Linked DNA regions of Callithrix jacchus. The protein of the gene in region 1 interacts with the protein of each later gene in a pairwise test. Links are inferred from orthologs where the notes say so. Each region holds a gene or a part of one and is shown on either strand. Other genes may lie near its edges.

Region 1 (3,500 bases):
CCCAAATGCAGCAGGAAACGTGAGACTCACATATAACAACACTTCACCACAAGATTAACTCTGAAAATTGGTGATGATATTACAAAACAAATCTAAGTATACAGATGAGAACTTGTGAGTTTGCTTATTCGGGAATTAGTACCTAGAGATAAAGGTCTGAAGCAAAATCACACAGCCCTTGAGTGAGTCAGACCTTCTCTGAAGAATTCAGTGCCTCACCTAATCAGAACGGAGTCCCTGGTATAGCCGCCGTCATACTCTGTCGTTTCTTCCAATGCCTGGAAATCTAGATTCTGAAAATTCAAGAAAATATGTCTTAGTGTCTCCTGCACTGCTCTTCATTACGAACAACAATCCATCCGTGACTTTCTGCAGACGCCTGCTTTCTTACCCGGCTTCCACATATAAGCAATTCAATTTCTTCTGGTCTGAATAAGTACTTTAAGGGAGATTCATTGGTCACCATATGAAAACCTCTCCGAAAAGCCTTGAACTGTTTTTCTACTGATTTATTGAGAATGTAGTCAGAATAAAGATTGACAAATTCCTGTAGGAAACATTAATCACAAAAACCTCTTAAAATATGCTATGCAAACAGAACACAAGTTAGTAGGCTGCAGAGCTGTTCAGTTTTTCCGGGAAAAAAAATTAAAGAATATTTGAAACAATTCAATATTACACCTACAAAGAAAACTACTACTTCTATTTCACAATTCTCTGTTATAGCCAATATGAAGCTGTGAAAAGGCCATATACATGAAACTGTCATACATGATATAATGTCAGTTCTGATACTGTATTAAACACACCTAAATATAAATGCTAGAGATGCATACAACTTTTTAGGTTCCCTCAACTAGGTATGCAAACAGAAACATTTAAACCATGTATCCATCTATTTATAAATGCTAACATTTTAAGAGCGTACAACATATTTGATTTGAGCAAACCAGGAAGTCCCATGTTTTCTACCACAGAATATTTGCTAAGCGGCCTACTGTATCCAGTTCAGTGAAAATACTGAAGTGTTGACTGACACAAACTACTCTATCAAATCATAAAAGGAAAATGTGCTTTGTACCCTTAGTGTGTATAATATTTCATCAAAAAATATCAATAGAAACATGTTTCTTAAAAGGTGTACTATATCTTTGTCATAATTTTTCCTGTTCTGGGTTATTCCCATTCCAGACTAACACATTTTAGACAACAGAAACGCAGATCTGATGTAAAAAATACTTTTCAGAAATGTCTTTATATCACAAACAGGATACACATTGTAAATTAAATGTAATTTTTATTTGTCTGTGACAAGGTCCTTTATCATGAGGTTCCTGCTTACAGCTTAATATGGAAAATACCCTGCTTCTTGCTTTATCCTACAACCACACTTAGCTATGAACTATCTCCTACGTCACGTCCTCTTTCTCTAAATTGGATTTAGTGCCTAACTGTGAGCTTTCATACCAACTTACATCCAAGATTTAGGAGACTGGACTCCAGCATTTACATAAACTTGGTTACTGGATTTCTTGTGTTTCTTTGTACCGACTATATTAGATACTCCTTTAAAAATTATAAGCATACATGCTTTGAAATTGTTAATGAAGAGACAAACATGATGACATAAAACATTACCTTCCTGTTTTCATTTGTAATTGGAATTTTATCACCATTTTCCTTTAGATCATACATCATTGGGTTACCAAAAAGATCTGTTTGTGATATCTGGAAAGTGATCATCATGTCATCTTCCACATTCCCTTCATACTCCAATAAATCTTTTAAACTCTGATATAGAACCTAGCAACCAGAAATGGTAAATTGAGGCCACTATAGAACTATAAAATACAACAAATAATTTACATCACCCTTCTTAAGACAATAAAAACAAAAAACTTATCAATGAAAACTGTAACAAGGATAGTTAGTATTCCTCCAGTCCCCAATAGTTTCCAACCTACAAAAGAAACACTGGCAGTCACTGGGATGTCCCATTCTCTGCTGAAAAACCCACACCACCAATTTAGCATTCGATTTCACACTGTGCTCTATGAGAAATTCTGTGGTGTCTCAACGTGGGGGTGGGGGAGGTGGGAGCAGGCACACTAGTGGTAGCTACCAAGACCCTTAGCCAGGGCTGCTCTGATTTTACCTATCTCATAAGATTTCACTAAAATATAAACAAAATGTTTAGAAACATTTCTCTATGGAATCAGTCTTAAAAAGCTTCATGCTGACAGCAATATATAAAAATTTCCCCTTTTAGAGTTTGTAAGTGTTCATGGTACTTCAGTCTGATTAAAACTTAAAGATTCTAAATGAAAACTTTTAAAATTTTGATATAAATTAAATTGTATATTTGCATTTAAAATAAAATCAAAGAGACTGAATTAAAAAAATGACAACTTACTGGGTGAGAGTCTCCCAAGTCACGAAAAGTTCCTTTTTTCCCCATGAGCTTCCTGTAGACAACCATGGGAAAATGGACATCCAGTATACAGTTATTGTAAATAGCCAGACCCAGTACTATGCCAATCAGAGTAAACTGACCCTCAGTTTCAAAAGAAGACGGATTAAACCAAAACAGTTTTGTAGATTCGTCGTATGTGAACATACCTATAAGAAATAATTTTTAAAAATACATTACTTTTGTATTTTATTAAGAAGTGATAAATACAAATTTAAAGTAATTACACATATAAAACATTTAAAAATATATGTAATTATGCATACATTGATTTCTATTAGCACTTGAGAAAACACTGTCCACATATATGTTATAAACTGTGGCAGATGTGGTATGTAATTTTATGAAGTCAAAGAAAGTCCTAAGTAATTGAATGGCATTGAGTAGAAAAACACATTCGTTAAATTCAAGCTTTCTAATTTTCTACTAACACATAAGAAAAGTTACATTCACACTTTATCTACCCATAGCTAAAACATAAACATAAAACCCAAGGGCTATATTTCCAAAGTGTTTCATTTATGAAAATATATTGGTACCACATGTATTATTTTTAAAAAACAGCTTTTAATCACAGTAAGGAAAGTCTGTTTTTGAAAGTTAGATAGTGCTGCCATGAAATTCTTCTAGCATTTTCCTAACAACATCAGATGATCTGAAGTACATAAACTTAGATTAATCTGATAAACGTAGATAAGCAAAGCTACTTAATACCTGTGTTGTGGGCCAGTATGTAAAACAAAAGTCATTTCAATTTCACATGGTCTTCATTATGCAAACCCCAATCGTGGAGACCTTTATATCACTCACTGGAAAACTGGGGTGGGGCGTGGTAGTTCACGCCTGTAACCTCAGCACTTTGGGGAGGCCGACACAAGCAGATCACCTGAGCTCAGGAGTCCAAGACCAGCCTGGGCAAGATGGCAAAACCCCATCTCTACAGAGAACACAAACATTAGCTGGGTGTGGTAGCATGCCCCTACAGTAGTCCCAGCTACTTTGAGAGGCTGATGCATGAGGATGGCTTGAG
Region 2 (4,116 bases), on another chromosome or scaffold:
ACTCAATTCCAATACCACTAAGTGATATAAAATTAAGCAGCTTTTCTTCCTTTTGTAAACGTACTGCTTACAGAACATGTGGATTTCTATCATACTTCCAGAATCGTAAGTCAGTTTAATGTAATTTATGTCTTTTAACTTTCATAATAAGGAGTGATTAAATTTTAGTTTTCCCCTCATTCCAAATCTACTAGATCTCTGTAACATTTGCCAGCCGTAATAGCATAACACTTTAGGGGAGGAATAGCCAAACTGCTTGTTCTCAGATATTTTTACTGTAAAGCCACCACAAAGGACCAACATCTAACCGACCCTAATGCCTCAACTCTTTATCGTGTTGTATGTCCACATGCTTTAAAAATACCCACGAGTCATGGCCCTTCAACTATTACTGTGAGTACTAAAATACATCACATTGGAAGTGCTTAATTTACAAGTGTTTGCAATGTCATGGCTCCAGTTGCAATGTGTAAGTGCCGCATCCTGCTTCTAGCTGTCACCGTCACAATAACTGCATGCTATCACTCAAGCTGTCCTTTGCCGTGACTACCCACCTAACTCCTTCCCTCACATAGTTTCCTAGACCTTTTCAATTTACCTCAGCTACATTTTTCTGGAAGGACATCCTTTTCAAAGTTGCTAAACAGCACAAAGACACTAATCCACACAGTGAGACCGCAGAATAAACGACTTTAGAGGAAAATATACACATAAATGAAGTGTATATTTTAAATTAGAAGGTGAACAGAAGAGCTATTCTGACCCACCCACCTTGGGAGCTGACTCCCGAATATTAATTACCTTTTACCTTCCCAGGGAAATCCCACAATACTTTTTTAACCAAATGAGAGAACATGTCCTCACATTTTAAGCAAGTAATTAGCTAATTTGGATGCAAGGTACTGGCTCACCCATAAAAATTATTTAACCTTTATGACGACATGCTTTTCCTCAGGTCTCTCTATTATTAATTTTTCCCTTAGGAACTGAGACACGCTCTCTGGCTAATTCTGCTTCTAACGAAAAATGATTTCAAACCAGCACAAAGGATTCTCTCCCCCACTACTTGGGTACAAGAGGAAGTGGATAAGGTTTCTCACACAGTAACGATGGCTCCAAGGCCTCGCCTCTACACTGCGGGCAGGACTCACCGCACCCATTTAACCCTTACCTGACTTGAGACATCGGTTAGGGTGAAAAGAAAACGGGCAGACCCGGACTTTAAAGTGCAAATCCTCGGGTCCGCGTATCTGCAACCACCCCCCTCCAGGCTCCGCCCAAGCCCGAGCCTCCGCTCAGGTCCCCGACTCTCCTCCTTTGTCATGGCGGATCTGTGTCAGGGAGCCCAACCTACTGCTGAGTGTTAATTCCCCCCCCCACCGGAGCAAGGGGGAGGAGCAGCCGGCGCCCCCGCCCCCGCTCGAGCCGTGGGGGGAAGCCAAGCCACCCGACCCCGGGGCAGAGACGCCAGAGACGCCCGCAGAAGCGGAACCACTAGCAGCCTCACCGCGGACACACCCCGCCTTCCCACCCAGCGCTCTCCCCGCCACCGATCAGCGCCGGTGCCCGCGTGCACCGTCCCTAAGGGCCCGACAGCTGCAGGTGGGGGAGGGGACGAGAGCCACACCCAGTCGAGCGGGCCACCGGCGGCCGCTCTGCTCAGGATCACTGTGCGTCCCCGAAGCGGCGGAGGGACCCTCCAGTTCTAGTGACTCCGGCGCGAGAGCCTATCGCGGGATCCGCACCCCGCTCTACCCCAACCTGGGCTCACAGCCCCAGTCCGCGCCTTCCCCGACGGTTCATAAGGAGGAAAGAAAATCATCCCCATCCCCATCCCCCGTCCCCACCGAGAAAATTCAAGCCCTTCCCCCCACCGCGGAGCCCAGGAAATTCAGCTCCAGGTCCCAGGCGAGCCCCACCCCACAGCCTCCCCCCGCAGTGGGCTCCCTTCCCGCCGCCGGGCCGGGCCCGGGCTCCTGTCCGCTTCCGCCAGGCCCTTCCCTCCCGCCTGTGTCCCCGAGGCCCCCGGCCCCTCCCCGCCGCGCTACCTCCTCCCGGGGTGGGGGAGGGCCGGGTCCCGCCACCGCAGCGCCCAGCGCGGAGGCTGCGCGAGGGGGAGGGAGAGCGGGGGAGGGAGAGCGGGGGAGGGGAAAGAAGGGGCGGCCGAGGGACAGGGGAGGGGGCGGCCTCACCTGCGCCCCCGCGATGCCCGCCGCCGCCGCCGCCGCCGCCGAGTCATTATCTCGGGCGGAAGCGAGAAGGGCAGCGAGGGCGGGGGTAGAAGCAGAAACAAGGGTGGGGACGAATCGCGGCCGGCGGCGCCCCGGCCATGCCTCGTCCGGCTTCGGGAGCAGGCGACGGGGGATCCCCGGGGATCTCGCGTGTGGGCGCCCTCCCCACCCCCGGGAGCGGGACGGGGGAGCGAGCACCGATCGGGGCCGGGGCGGCGACGCGGAAACCAGGCGCGGGAGGCTGCCGCTAGCCGCCCGCCCGAGCCCAGCGGAAGAGGAGCCGCCGCCCGTGTCTGCCGGGGAGACTCCGCCTCAGCCCCGCGCCGCCACCGTGGGGCGAGCGGGGATGAGGGGACCCGGTGAGGACGGCTCCCACGCGTTCAGAAGGCTGGCCTGGGACAGGAGGAGCGGGGAGCGGCGGCGGACGGGTTCCTCACCTGTGTCCGGAGTGGGTGGAGGCGGCGGACGGACAGGGGCTCAGCAGTCTCTGGGCGGCGGCGGCGGCGGCAGCGGCGGCAGCGGCGGCGAGGCTGAGACTCTGTCCCTGGATCTCGCTGCTCACAGGCTACAGCCGCTCCGCAGACACGGGGTTTCCTCCAATCACCAGCCCCGGCAGCAGGGGCACCACACGCACGATGACGTCAAACGCTGCTATGGCAACCGTTGATTAGTGCCCACAGCGATCTGGGCCTCGCGCAACCGCCGCTCCCCGGCGCGCGTCCTGCCCGCCCGCGCTGGAGGGCGAGCGGAGGAGCGCGCGTCCTCGCCCGCTACGGCCACTCCCCCACCCGGCTCGGCTCCCAGGTCCTCTACGCTTGTCCGGAGTGCACCTAGGCGGGAAGCTTCTGTTTTTCTTTTCCTCCCCAACGCAGATCCCCCCGACTCCTCGCCTTCCCCTTAGGTCCCCGACGTCCTCTCCCCTGCAGCCTCCACCGGCCCACTCTACCTCTGAGCCTGTGGGAAGGCAGCTGTCTCCCTACCCCTACCCCCACGTTAGCTTTCGCTCAGCCGGTCTGCGCTTGCGCCAGTCACTCCTCTCACTCCTCTGGAAGGGGCTCCAGTTCAGCAACATCCGGGACCTTTCACATCCCCCCCACCCCGCCCCCCTCCCCGAGGCCCGGCCCGCCCTGCCCTGCCCTCGGTGCTTCGCGGTGGTCACTGTCCCAGGGCCGTCCCGGGGCAGGATGACGAGTGTGGGTCGGCGGCTCCGGCATTGTGATCAGGACTTGCAGGGTGGGGGCCCTGGGGCGAGGACAGGGCGCGGTCGCAAGGCAAGGGAGGGCTGTGTGTGGTGTGCTCCCCTTGCTCGGCTGGGTCGACCAGGGGGCGCGGCCGCTCCCTGCTTCCCTTACGCCGCCGCGGCTTTACCTGCTGGCTCCGGGGAAGTGGCCCTAGACCTTTTATGGCTCGGAAACGGGAGTGTGGCTGAGTGATGGGGAGGTGTTCCAATCGGGAGCTCGGGATCTGCGCTCGGTGACAGCGAGAGGGGACAATGGGTGGGCACCGAGATGGGGCGAGGTGGGCCGGGCCGGGCGGAGCCGGCGGGAGGTCAGGCCTGGAAGGAGGCGCGGCCGCTTTAGGGAAGCCAGAGTGCGGAGGGGAAAGGATCGCCTTCTCCGGTGGGGGGCTGGAGCTGGTCCTGGCACAGCTGACCCGGAGACGAGCAGTCAGGCGTGACCGCACGGGCCTGTTTCTCGTAGGCTAGGTTTTCCTACCCAAATAAAGCGTTCACGTGAAGAGCTCACACTGCAGTGATTTAAAACGTGACTATCATTACCGTTTTGTCTTCTAAAAGCAAGCTTTGAAGGACGTCGTAGTCCCCAGGGCCCCAGCTGGCGATGGGAGTGGGCCACAGGCCGGGCGACGAGCGGGGACAGAGCCCGGA
Region 3 (4,074 bases), on another chromosome or scaffold:
GTCCATTTTAAGTTTTTTATGTTATGTAATATTGCTGTCAGTATTTTTGCACAAATTTTTATTTCATATTATTTTTGTCCAGTATTTCCAAATGTTAGCTTATAAGCTTGAAATGTCAGCAGTTTCATGCCCATTACAATATTTTGCAAAATGTATGTTCAAAAAGACAAGTTAGCAACATAATGTTTACTAACTTAATAGGTATAGATGGGTCTCTCAGAATTATATAAATTAGTACTTCCTTAATTATTAATGAGGAGGAACACTTTTCTAAACATATATTACCACCTGTATCTCCTTTGGAATGAAACATTCAGAATCTTTGAACATTTGTCAAATGGAGACTTGATTTTGGTTTTTCAGGTTAAATCAGTTTCCCAATACTTTGGATATTAAAGTCATTATAAACTTTTTTTATAACTTAAATTTTGGTCTTGATTTTGTTTTGATTTTTTTTTTTTTTTTTTTGAGACGGAGTTTCGCTCTTGTTACCCAGGCTGGAGTGCAATGGCGCAATCTCGGCTCACCGCAACCACCGCCTCCTGGGTTCAGGCAATTCTCCTACCTCAGCCTCCTGAGTAGCTGGGATTACAGGCACGTGCCACGATGCCCAGCTAATTTTTTGTATTTTTAGTAGAGACGGGGTTTCACCATGTTGACCAGGATGGTCTCGATCTCTTGACCTCGTGATCCACCCGCCTCAGCCTCCCAAAGTACTGGGATCACAGGCGTGAGCCACCGCGCCTGGCAAGAAACTTTAAAAAATTTAAGTCATCAACCTTAAAAAACACGAAGTCCCCGATATAACTCTTTAAAGTGTTTTTAAAATTTGATTTTATCATGAAACTTGGGTTTTATTCTGCATTTAGAATTGTTTCTATGTACACATAAGGAAAAAAATGTGCAACACTGAAAGTCAAGGAATCATGTACTTTACCAAAATATTCGGGGTAGAAATTTTTAATAGAGAGAATTAAACCTAAAAAGAAGTAATTTCTATCTATCTGAAACAACCTTCCATCCTTCAATTTCACAGCCCATTTTTTTCTTGTTCTTGGGTGTTTGTTTAACCTCTTGAGTCTTAAACAGTAACAATTGCATTTCAATGTGCTCAGGGCCATAATGAAAATAGGCCTTCAATACATAGAGAAGAAATGTAGCAAAGAGGCTATGTACACAGGGTAATAAGTAAAACCATTTAGCACCTAGAAGGCTTAATAAACACAAAGCTCCTGCCAGACACAAGACCTTCATATTAGAATTAGTAATGATAGGAGGTGACCTTTATTTGACAAATAAGTATGTTTGGGAGCCTAGAGGGAAAGTGCCCATATGCCAAAGGAAGCCAGGAAAGAAGCTGGACCTTGATGCCTTGTATTTAAGCATCCTGAGACCCCTTTTCCAAATCCAAAGGGCCATGTAATCTTAGCTTCTCCTTAGAAATTAGACATCAGGAAAGTGAAGAGAATTGCTAGACATTTGGTCCTGTTATAACAACACTAAACATTGGGCAGCCACCAGGTACAGAGTCTCAGGAGGAGCTTACCAATGGATGGGGCATAGCCATTATATTTGCCGGAGTCCAGGGCATCTTTCATTGCCTGGGTAACTTCAGGGTCTGTAGGCAGGTTTCCAAATACAGTAGGGTCCCCTTTTTATGGAAGGAAAAAACAAAAGGAACCAAGAGATTACTCTCCCATATTCAGTACTCAGCCTCACCCCCCACCTCCCATCTTCTCCAACCAGCCTGTGAATATGAGAGCAGAGGGGACTATAACATTCCCTCAGTAGTATCCCCAACTCACCAATGGACAGAGAAATCATGGTTTTGTTTGGATTTGGTTTCACCTTCGTGTTGTCCACAATGGCTCGGATGGGGTTGAAAGTTTTGTTGGCCATGTCTGAGGGCCTCACGGACCACCTGGCCTTCCTGCCTTTCACTTTTCCCGGCACAGAGCTTCTCCCACCAACGTTGACATGCGTGTCCAGAATTGAGGGGAGGTTGCCTTTGCTGTTCATCTGAATCACGTATGGGTCCATCACAAGTGAAGCCTGGGAGGGGGAAGAAGAAGGTCCCTGAGATGTTGGAAACATAGCACTGGGGGAGAGAGAAACCACATTTGGACCTAAACATCAGGGTGACTTCACTGAAAGTGTCTTTCCAAACTCTCTCTTTCTTTTTTTTTTTCCTACTTTCTCTTGTAAAGTATCTTTACTATGAAAGGAGTTGTTTTTTTTTTTTAACTTAAAAACTTAAGAGAGTTTTAAAGACTTTTTACTAAGATGGAAAATAAAGCAAGAACTCATTCTACAGTGTTAGTAGAAAGCATTCCGTTGAATACTTGAGTAGGATTTGCTACACTCATGTGTAATTCCTGTAAAAGCTGAACCATGCTTTGTGTGAAACCAAGAAGGAATAATATGAAAATTGTTAATCATCAAAGCATAGGCGCTCCCTCATTTCCATGCGAGCCTATCCAACAAAATCTACTTAACGCTTTGACAATCTGCGCTTTGTCATCTGAATGGACCAGGAAGAACTACTACTCCACCTTATTAGAAGCTCCATGTAAATATCATTGTTAGTAAAAGTAAAACCCTATCCCATAAGCCTCTTATGGCCCTGGTTGGAACAAGAAATCCATACACCCAAAAGAAAAAAGTAAACAGCCCAATCAATCACCACCACCTGATCAGCTTGGGCTTGAGATTTTTACCTTCCAAGTAAAGGAGAAGCAGCCTCCAAGAAGCCAACCCCAAAAGCTCCCTTAGCTCTTCTCTGGCAGGTTTCAGTGGCAATGAACTCAGATGCAAATCCAGACTCCTGAAATAGTCTCCACAAATGGGCGTTGGGCCTGAAACGTTCATGCCATTGGTTGGGAATGAGAGCTCAGCAGCCAACCCTCCCCTCAGCTTCTTCCCTCCTCTCCCCTCCTCATTGCCTCTCATCCCTAAGCCCACCTCCCACCCGCAAAGCAGGAATTCATCCTCACTTCAAACATCTGAAATTCTCCTGTGTTAACTCTTTCTGGGCATTTGGTGAGATGGTTTGAGAACATTTACTGTCAAAGGGTAGTTCTGATTATAATTGATGATTTTTATTAAATTTTTTGTTGTTGTTACAGGATGACCTGTTAAAATTTTAACAGTACAGAAGTACATAAAGTAAGAAGTGAGCATTCTTCCCTGCACCTGCTCCCTCTACACTTCATTCTCACTCCCAGGGGTAGGCAGTGGTAATGATTGGGCTCTTTCTCTCCATTCAGAGATACATACATAGCTATAGATACATAATTTTGTAGATTTCAAAACACAGATAGGATCGTGCTCTACACCTTGTCTAGTAACTTTTTTTTTTACTTCCTACATCTTGGACTCCTTTCCTTGTCAGTCCACAAATTTTTGCTCCAATCAGAACAAATTGAGCGCTTAAGTTCCATTCAACAAATATCTGAACAGCACAGGGTTTCCAAGGCAGCTGAACCCTGTGCAGTTGTATCCTTGCACTGTGTATGAATTATTCATTTACCTCCTATGGTTATTGGAAGAATAAAATGTCAGGTGCAATCTACACAAAACAACTTGACTAAGCAAAACACAAGGTCCACAGCCAAAAATCTCAACATTCCTGTGAGCACTGGAAAATACCACCCGCTGAAAGTTAAGAGAAGCCTCAATCATCACCCAGGGGCACAGATCCTATCTGTTTATTTGTTGGAAGACAAAGATTTTTCACATCAGTTTGTTTTTCTCCATCCACTTTTCAGGGATTCAAGCCCCCAGTGGTGTTGAGTACAGTAGTCCCCCCTTATCTGCAGGGGGTACACTCCAAGACCTCCAGTGGATGCCTGAAATTATGGGTGTCTGAAACCATGGGTAGTACTGAACCCTAGATCCACTATATTTTCCCTTATACAGGAATGGCAGGTAACGTCTACAGCATGGATACACTAGACAAAATTATTCACGTCTTGGGCCAGATAGAACAGAATGATGCCAAGGGCATTCTTGTCATAAATGTTGGTTTACATATTTTCTTATTTCCTTAAGATAAATTTCTATACATTGACTGTG
Region 4 (4,283 bases), on another chromosome or scaffold:
ATTGTGCCTACTGTACTGTGTACAAATATAGCAAAAAAGATCAATGAATGGTATAAATCTTACAGCATTTTGCTAGCAAAAATACATGCCAAAGTCACAATAAGCAATATCGTACCACAAATTAGAGAGCTTCAAATAATTTGCTTCTGATTTTAATATCTTCATTCTACATTAAATTACTATCATAGGCTAATGTTTAAAAATGCAAATAAATTGGACATCTGTAGGACAACACTTGTTCACCCAACTGTGAAGGTTGATACCTGTTTCCAAAAATCACAATAAATGCAGAATAAAGAAAGTGTTTGCATGCAACACTTTTGAGTGAAACAGCATTGATTCCCACCATTCAAAACAGATAAGAAAGGAAACTAAAGGAAAGAAGGAAGGAAGGAAACAAAGAGGGAGGGAGGGGGACACAAGAGGAAGGGAAGGAAGGAAAAATAATCAAAGGAGAAAGGGAGTGAGGGAAGTAGGAGGGAGGGACTCCATCTTAAAATGCATCATATTAGACTTATAACTAGACAGATTTAAAAGAATCAAAATGAAAGTAAAGAACGATTTTGTGTGTGTGTGTTTAAAGATTTAAGAGCCATTATCAAAAATAAGATACATTTTTTTTCCAGGTACAGAAATGTAATTAAGATGGCTGGGAGCCCAGCAGCCTTTCAATGGCTGCATTGATGTCGCCTCCTGTTGCTATTAGGGCCTGCAAGTTTGCTTCACGGTTTAAGAACCCCATTGCGTTGAGCTGTTCCAGTTGTTGCTGAAATCTGACTTCTGGATTCGGCAGCTGTGGAGCACTGGCTCCAGCCAGAGCCTGCACCATTTGCTGAATGAACTGCTGGTTGGGTCCAGATTCTGATGTAGGACTCGTGGTTTCACTGGGTGCAGCGCTGGACACAGTAGGACCGGTGGGACCACCAGAGCCGGTGGAGCCAGGGGGGCCTGCAGGGCCAGTGGGTCCTATGGGCCCAATTGGGCCTATGGGGGTAAAAGGGACTATAGGGCCTATGGGGCCTATGGGGGTGACTGGGCCTACAGGGCCTATGGCGGTTCCCAGCACCCCCACCCCCACACCTGGAGTGAAGCTTGGAATGAGGCCAGGTGCTTCAGTGGCTAATGTCTGTAGCCCCTGCTGGATCTGCATTAAAGCCTGCATTGCTCTAGGGTTTGACATGGCAGATAGTGTATCTGGATTCTGCATCTGCTGCAGGAAGGCTGGGAGCTGTGGACGCATCTGCTCCTGCAGCTGAGGATTTGCAGTAAACAGCGGGCTATTCAGCATCATCTGTGCAGCCAAATCTGGATTCTGGCTCAGCGACTGCATCATGCTTCTCATGTAGGGCGCCGACAGCATATTCTGAATCAGCTGGGGGTTTTCAGTTATCTGTTGCAGCAGGCTCTGCATGCCTGGGGTACTAAAGATACTGGCGACATAATTAGCTGCAGCAACGGTGTTCCCAGTAGCATTGCTGGAACTATTGCCAGACCCACTACCAGTGCTCGTGGTCGTGCTGGTAGTTGCAGAACTCTGGGTAGCTGGCGGTGGTGCCCATGGATTGGGTAGTGGATCACGATTTTCTGTGCGGGAAGGCTGCGTACCTTCTCCAGAGGAGGAACTACTCCCCACAGAGGCAAACGGATTACCCCCAAACTGCTCTTGTGCAGCATTCAGCATCGGCTCTTGAATGTCAGTGTACATGCGCCGTAAAGCATTATAGCCACCTGGGATGCTTTCGAGATTGCTAAGAGCCAGGTCTTGATTTCTCATCATCTCTTGCATCATGGCTGGATTCCTGGCAATTTCGAGTGTCTGCCTCATTATATCTGGGTTGTTGAGCAGGTGACTGATTTCTGGGTTTCTCTGAATCAATTGCTGCATCTGTGGATTAGCCATAATGAGCTGCCTCATCAGATCGGGATTCGAAAGCATGCTCTGAACAAAGGGATTTTCCATGATTTGGATCATCATCTCAGGGCTGGCCATGAGTTGCTGCTGCATCTGGCTCTGGAGCTCAGAGAAGTTGGTCGAGCTCAAGCCCAGGCTGCTAAGGCCTGCCAGTCCTCCCAGGCTCCCCAACCCAAACGGGTTGCTATTTGTGGAAATAGGTGTGGAGTTACTCCTGGGAGTCGACGCCGAGGTAGTGTTAGTTCCCGCGGCATTGCTAGGCTGCGTGGTCTGGCCCTGAGGTCGGTTCTGACTCTTGATGACAAGGTGAACAGTCAGCCCATCATGGATGCCGTGCTGGATCAAGGTATCTTGATCTTTTAAGATTTTTCCGGCAAAAATCAGCACTAGCTGATCGGTTTGGGATTTGAAGCGTTTCGAAATCGCTTCCTTAAACTGCTGGACCGAGCTATTCTCGGGCACCGCGAACTCCTCTTTCTCTTTGGGAGTCTTCACAGTGACTTTGATGATTTTAGGCTCCGCCGGGGCAGCAGCCGAGCCTTGGGCCGCAGCAGGGCCGCGGGAGGGGCGTGGGGGGCCGCTGCTCTCGCCATTCTCAGCCATGGCGGCCGCGGTGACGCAGGCGGGCAGGAAAGGCGCGGGCCGGCGAAAGAGAGAGAGCGAGGGAAGGAGGAAGGAAGGAGGCGCCGCCGTAGCGGGCTGGGCCGGGTCGGGCGGGGAGCGCGGAGCACGGTACCTCTGTGATGAAGACTGTGGTTCCGTGGTCCTCCGGAGAAAGGACTGGGCGTAGGCCGCGGGCTGAGGTTCCGCGCTCCAGTCTCTAGGCCTCCTCCGCCGCCGCCTTGTGATCCGACCGCGCGCACTCCCAGCAACTCCGGCAGCCGCTCCGCCTGCTGCTCCCCGCCCCTTCCCCTCCCCCAGTTCCGCGCTCGCCTCCCCGCCCTCTCTGCTGACGCGGCGCCAGGCCTAGATTGATAGATTTGGCTCGGTCAAAATTAAAAACTTCTGCACTGAAAAGAAAAAAAAAAGGGAGAGAGAGAAACAAAGGGAGAGAGAGAACAGAACAGAACAGTACAGAGCAGGCGAGGCAGAGAGGGTGGGACGGAGAGAAGGCGGCGGTAGAGAGTCAGCTTCTGTAAACGACATTAAAAGACCGATGGAGAATAAACATTAGAAATCTGTAAGGCAGTAAAAGGGTGAAAGCCTGATTCGAACCGATCCCACGTAAAAGACGAAAAATGAATAATAAAGAACTCTGACAAAGCAAAAAGAAAGGAGGAACAACCCCCAATGGGGGAAGGGAAGAAGACAGCAGGAGCATGCATTTTACAAAAGGAGTGCAAATGGTCAATAGACATTAAAAAAGGACGATTAATCTCACTAGTAATCAAAAAAAAATTCAAGTTAAAACAATAAAATTCTACTTTTGGGTTATATTGGCAGGGGAAAAAAATAATGGTAAACCTTCCTGTTGACAGGGACCCCTAAAAAATGCACTCTCAGGCTAGCTGAAGTGTGAATTGTTACAATCACAGGGCAATTTGAAAATATATATCAGCATTTCGAATGTTTCCACCTTTATTTAGAAATGCCTAACCTAGACACTCACCTAAGAAAATAATCAGATAAGGATGCAAAAATATTTATGTATAGAATGTATATACGTTGTAGCATTTTAAAACGTTATTTAAATATTTAAAATATCGGTTTACATGAGATTAGTCGAGCACATTATGATATTATCACACAAGAAAATACACAGTGTCTTTAAAGGTAAATATGAAATAAACTATAGTTATAGGGAAATCACAGAGTATTTTCAATTTTGGCTTTGTATATTTCTGTACAGTTAGAAACCATACAAGAATATATGTTACAATATCAAAAATGCAATAAATACATTTTTATTTGAAAACCAATCTTTGAACAGTTTGTTGTACATGTAAACTGTAAGTGTAAAAATATCTGGAAGGCTATTCACAAATAAGTTAATGGCTGTTAGTACAGTTCACTGAAATTATGAATATTATTTTCTATTTTTATAAAATTTTGAATTTTCTAATGATTTTTGTAGGTATGCACTGGTGAAAGGTATTTTGGGGAAGAGTATGGGTAGAAATTGACAGGCACATAACAGTAGTGGCAAACATTGACATATATACCTAATTTCATTACAGATTAAGTAAAAGCAATAAAGATGTAGCAAAGCTGAGGAAGAGAACTGGAAAAATAGAAGAGATAATTTCAAATTTATCTATATATTTCTAACTCTAGGTTAAATCACACAGAAAATTCTTCTCCCAGCCCCTACGCTCTAACAGGCATCCATCAAAGCACCAATGCTTTGAACATTTAGCAGCATTTCAAAGTC
Region 5 (4,116 bases), about 90 Mb from region 1:
AAAACCAAACATTCCACTTCTGTAGGGAATTTGCAAAATGATAGATTAGTCACAGATTTAAGAAGCAGAATAGAAATAAGAATACACAGAAATGAGGTGCTTCACTGCCCAAGACTGCAGGAAAATTGAAACATGCACAACAAATAAAGCTGTTTGTATTTTTCCTTCTAAAGCCCAAGCAGGATATCATATAAATTTATTTTTTGTTTCTTCAAACAATATGCAGATTCATTTTAAGAAAAAATAAATTCCTCCTCCAAATACAGCAACAGCATGTTCTGACTCCTTAAAATATTTGTTAAACAACTATGTGCAAAGTCCTATGACAGTGGTATCTCTGAGGCTGAAAATGGCAATGTTGTTCCTGCCTGCCCTAGGGTTAACTAACATCATCTGTCTAGGGAGTCAGACATGTAAACAATGAGGACAGACAAGAAAGATGGTCCTGTTAATGAGAAGAACAAGAAATGTGCTAGGGTAATAGAAACTAATTCTGTCTGAAAGAACATTTGTAAGAGTCATACATGTAAAAGGTGGCACTGGAATTCAGCTTCTGAAGGAGTTAAAAATTTCAACGAAAAACAGGTGGTGAAGTGACTTGACTATGGATGTTTGCAAGTATGTGATTAAGTCAGAGAAGATAGGGGAGAAGTGTGGATGATGATTGAGGCTGGTTTTGGCGGACAGACAGGAAAGAGTGGTGAAGAATTTAAACTTTATTCCACAAGCAATGGTGAATCAGTTGATTTTGTGATAGGGAGTTGGCATTTTTTTAAACAAAGTACAGGGATTGTCTCATCATTATCATCTAGCTGCAAAGTCAAGGCACTTACATTATGTGTTTAAATGAAACATTTATTGAAGAACCTTTGTAAAGTGGTGTGGTAGGTAGGCAGAGTTGAGGATGGGATTTGACTAAGAGATAAATACACTGCCGGAAGTAAATGAAAAACAACCATGGGAGCCTAAGGAAGAAAGGATTAGTGCCTCTCAAAAAGGTGTACAAGGTTTCACAAAGGTGTGAATTTTTAGCTGGGTTTTGAAGGAGGAATTGTCAGGCAGACAGTAACATTGTCATAGATAGTGAAATGGAAATTAAACTATGGTTTTAGTATTATCAAGATTTCATAAGACAGCAGTATTATTCACAATAGCCAAAAGGTGGAATCGACCTGCATCCATTGAATGGATAAGCAAAATGTAGTATATATACAGGTTGAGCAGCCCTCATCTGAAAATCCAAAATACGAAATGGTCCAAAATCCAAAACTTTTGAGTGCTGACATGATGTTCACTGGAGCATTTCAAACTAGGAATGCAACTGGTTAAGCATAACGCAAATACTCCAAATCTGAAAAACAAAAATCCAAGATACCAAACAGTTTTGGTCCCAAGCGTTTCTAAAAAGGGATACTCAACCTGTACAATGATGTTATTTATTTAGCCTTAAAAAGGAAAATTCTGACACATACTACCTTCGCAGAAGAACCTTATAGACACTATGCTAAATGAAACCTGCCAGACACAAAAGGACAATCACCATACGACTCCACTTATATGAGGTACCTAGAGTGGTCAAACACATAATGAAAGGAAGCAGAGTGGTGGCTGAAGGAGGGGGTAATGGAGGCGAGTTTGTGTTTAATGAGCACAGAATGCCAGTTTGGAAGATGAAAAGAGTTTGGAGATAGAGTGGTGACGGCTGCACGACGAGGTGAATGCCCTTAATGCCACTGGACTGTACACTTAAAAATAGCTAAAATGGTCAACTTTGTTATGTATATTTTACAATAAAAATTATTTCATAAACCATTCCAAACTGCTGACCCTTCATCCTGTAGGCCGTGGTATATCTGCTCTCGGAAAAGTAACCGGTGGGTGAGGCAAGTCAGGAAGGAGGCTGGGGTTATAAGGCCAGGAGCCCAGAGGCACAGAAAAAAGAGGGGTAGGGTAAGGAAAGGAAGGCCAGAGGGAGAGAGGAGCAAGGGACCCAGAACAAGGAATATGGTCAGCTACTCTACAGGGCAGGGATCCAGCCCCAGCAGCTTTTTTTTTTTTTTTTTTTTTAAGCAGTTCCCTGCTAAGCTTTCAGACCACAGTTCACGCTGAAACATTCGTCAGCACAAGAAGCGAGGGTGGCCCGGGCCCCGGGCGCCCCCAGCACCTGGCTGCGTGGCCCAGCAGGGCTCCGCCGGGATTCAATAGCAGTTCGGCCTCCCACTCGACCCAGCCGCACCCAGCGGCCCAGTTACTTATCCTCAGCGAGCCCGGGTTTCCGCGCCGGTCACCCGGGGCTATGCAAATAGCGGGCTCACGGGGTGGTGAACATCAAGTGAAAGAAACAAAGCGCTGAGCACTGGGCACCAGCGTCTTAGGGCTCGAGATAGGTTTTAGTCCTGAAAAAAGCCCAGCCTGTCCCAGGGTCCTCGCGGCCGCCGGGCTCGGAGCTTAAAGTTGGGGGCGGGCGGGGTGGCGCTTCCCGGGCTTGCGACCCCCAGGTTCCCGAACGCCCGCGGGCCATACGGCCCCGCCCGGCCCAGATACCGCGGGTTCTGGAGGCTGGCGGCGGGGAAGGCCCCACGCGCTCGCCGACTTACTCCTCCAAGAAGTCCAGGAACAGTTTCTGGCACTTCTCGGCCACCTCGTCGCGGACCTCCAAATGCTGGCTGCCGGCGCCAGGCTCCGCTGCCGCCGCGAGGTCCATATTTGCCTGGCGCCGAAAACTCGCCACGCCACGCTCGACCGCCACAAGCCGCTTCTTTCCAGACGCTGCAGCTTTTCGCGCGCCGCCGCCGCTTCCGCCTCGCCCCCTCTTCCGACTGGCACGGCCAGAACCAATCGTGACGCAGGAACCAAAGATTTCGCGCCAAACCTGTCCAATGAACGGCGTTGATTGGTCTCCCAGGGCCCCGCCCACGGAAAGGGATTTCGCGCCAAATGCAAAGTCCTCCGGAGAAAGCACAGGTCTGCCTTTGCGCCTGCGCAGTGTCGCCGTGGCCCGCGGATATTTTGGCTGGTGGAACACGTTAGAATCTGAGGTTTTTATCCGAGTGGTTTTTCAAATGTTCTTTAAATAATTTGACTGATATTAATTGAACGATCGGAGTAAAACCCTTTGGAAAAGAAAAATGAGTAAGATTCAAATCTCCAACTTTTGCTGTCTGGTTGGAGGAAATAAGCTGGAAACCATGGGGTAAAACCCTGTAAAAGAGTCAAAGATATGTCTAAACAGCGCCTTGGTAAGGTGGCACAATTATTATGGTGGTGCTGACCGAAGAAAATCAGCGAAATATTTGACACTGGCCAGGCGCAGTGGCTCATGCCTGTAATCCCAGCACTTTGGGAGGCGGAAGCCGATGGATCACCTGAGGCCAGGAGTTCGAGACCAGCCTGGCCAACATGGAGAAACCCCGTCTCTACTAAAAATACAAAAATTAGCCAAGCGTGGTGGCGCATGCTTGTCATCCCAACTACTCAGGAACCCCGGGGCAGAAGAATCGCTTGAACCCAGGAGGCGGTGGTTGCAGTGAGCCGAGATCGCACCACTGCGCTCCAGCCTAAGCTACAAACTGTGACTCCATCTCTAAATAAATAAATAAATGAAAAACAAATAAATATTTGACTCTGATTTAATCTTTTTCTTCAGATGAAGTCTGTCGCTCAGGCTTGAGTACAGTGGCACAATCAGCTCACTGCCCACTCATCACCATGTCGGGCTAAGTAGAGATAGGGTTTTGTCATGTTGGCCAGACTGGTCTCAAACTCCTGACCTCAGGTGATCTGCCCGCCTCAGCGTCTCAAAGCGCTGGGATTACAGGCATGAGCCACAGCGTCTGGCTTTAATCCCCTTCTTAAAATGCACTATTGGCTTCAGTTCTTTTATTCTTTCCCCCATCTTTTCCTGACTTTGGTTTCACTTGGATTTTCTGCCATCTCTTTGATTTCACTCGGTTTTTCTGCCACCTCGTTGGCTATTCTTGGTTAGCATCTTTTGTAGGTGCCTCTTCTTCAGCGAGTCTTTTAAATGTTCTAGTTCCAGAGCCTGCTTTTTCCATAAAGTTCTTTTGGGTGACCCTTCTCACTCCCTTGGCATTAATTAACATCTGGGTACTGATG

The links. The genes of interacting proteins can lie anywhere in the genome.
Region 2: the proteins of UBE3A (region 1) and YWHAZ interact in a two-hybrid assay, tested with the Homo sapiens proteins (2 studies listed by BioGRID and IntAct, with this or other methods). The link is inferred for Callithrix jacchus from reciprocal best matches to the Homo sapiens genes UBE3A and YWHAZ.
Region 3: the proteins of UBE3A (region 1) and TAT interact in binary tests that used the Homo sapiens proteins (3 or more experiments, as listed by UniProt). The link is inferred for Callithrix jacchus from reciprocal best matches to the Homo sapiens genes UBE3A and TAT.
Region 4: the proteins of UBE3A (region 1) and UBQLN2 interact in a two-hybrid assay, tested with the Homo sapiens proteins (2 studies listed by BioGRID and IntAct). The link is inferred for Callithrix jacchus from reciprocal best matches to the Homo sapiens genes UBE3A and UBQLN2.
Region 5: the proteins of UBE3A (region 1) and MCM6 interact in binary tests that used the Homo sapiens proteins (3 or more experiments, as listed by UniProt). The link is inferred for Callithrix jacchus from reciprocal best matches to the Homo sapiens genes UBE3A and MCM6.

The regions. Positions count from the first base shown.
Region 1 is NC_133507.1:4,587,563-4,591,062, reverse strand, and holds part of UBE3A (ubiquitin-protein ligase E3A), read right to left. Parts: intron 2,620-3,500; coding exon 2,414-2,619; intron 1,804-2,413; coding exon 1,639-1,803; intron 548-1,638; coding exon 392-547; intron 294-391; coding exon 220-293; intron 1-219. UniProt on the Homo sapiens protein: E3 ubiquitin-protein ligase which accepts ubiquitin from an E2 ubiquitin-conjugating enzyme in the form of a thioester and transfers it to its substrates.
Region 2 is NC_133517.1:96,015,808-96,019,923, reverse strand, and holds the start of YWHAZ (14-3-3 protein zeta/delta), read right to left. Parts: upstream 2,801-4,116; 5' UTR 2,669-2,800; intron 1,323-2,668; exon of another isoform or gene 1,172-1,322; intron 1-1,171.
Region 3 is NC_133521.1:30,321,224-30,325,297, reverse strand, and holds the start of TAT (tyrosine aminotransferase), read right to left. Parts: upstream 2,801-4,074; 5' UTR 2,718-2,800; intron 2,053-2,717; 5' UTR 2,041-2,052; coding exon 1,806-2,040; intron 1,652-1,805; coding exon 1,547-1,651; intron 1-1,546. UniProt on the Homo sapiens protein: Transaminase involved in tyrosine breakdown. Converts tyrosine to p-hydroxyphenylpyruvate. Can catalyze the reverse reaction, using glutamic acid, with 2-oxoglutarate as cosubstrate (in vitro).
Region 4 is NC_133524.1:56,701,807-56,706,089, reverse strand, and holds the start of UBQLN2 (ubiquilin-2), read right to left. Parts: upstream 2,801-4,283; 5' UTR 2,516-2,800; coding exon 641-2,515; 3' UTR 1-640. UniProt on the Homo sapiens protein: Plays an important role in the regulation of different protein degradation mechanisms and pathways including ubiquitin-proteasome system (UPS), autophagy and the endoplasmic reticulum-associated protein degradation (ERAD) pathway.
Region 5 is NC_133507.1:94,642,129-94,646,244, reverse strand, and holds the start of MCM6 (DNA replication licensing factor MCM6), read right to left. Parts: upstream 2,801-4,116; 5' UTR 2,705-2,800; coding exon 2,598-2,704; intron 1-2,597. UniProt on the Homo sapiens protein: Acts as a component of the MCM2-7 complex (MCM complex) which is the replicative helicase essential for 'once per cell cycle' DNA replication initiation and elongation in eukaryotic cells.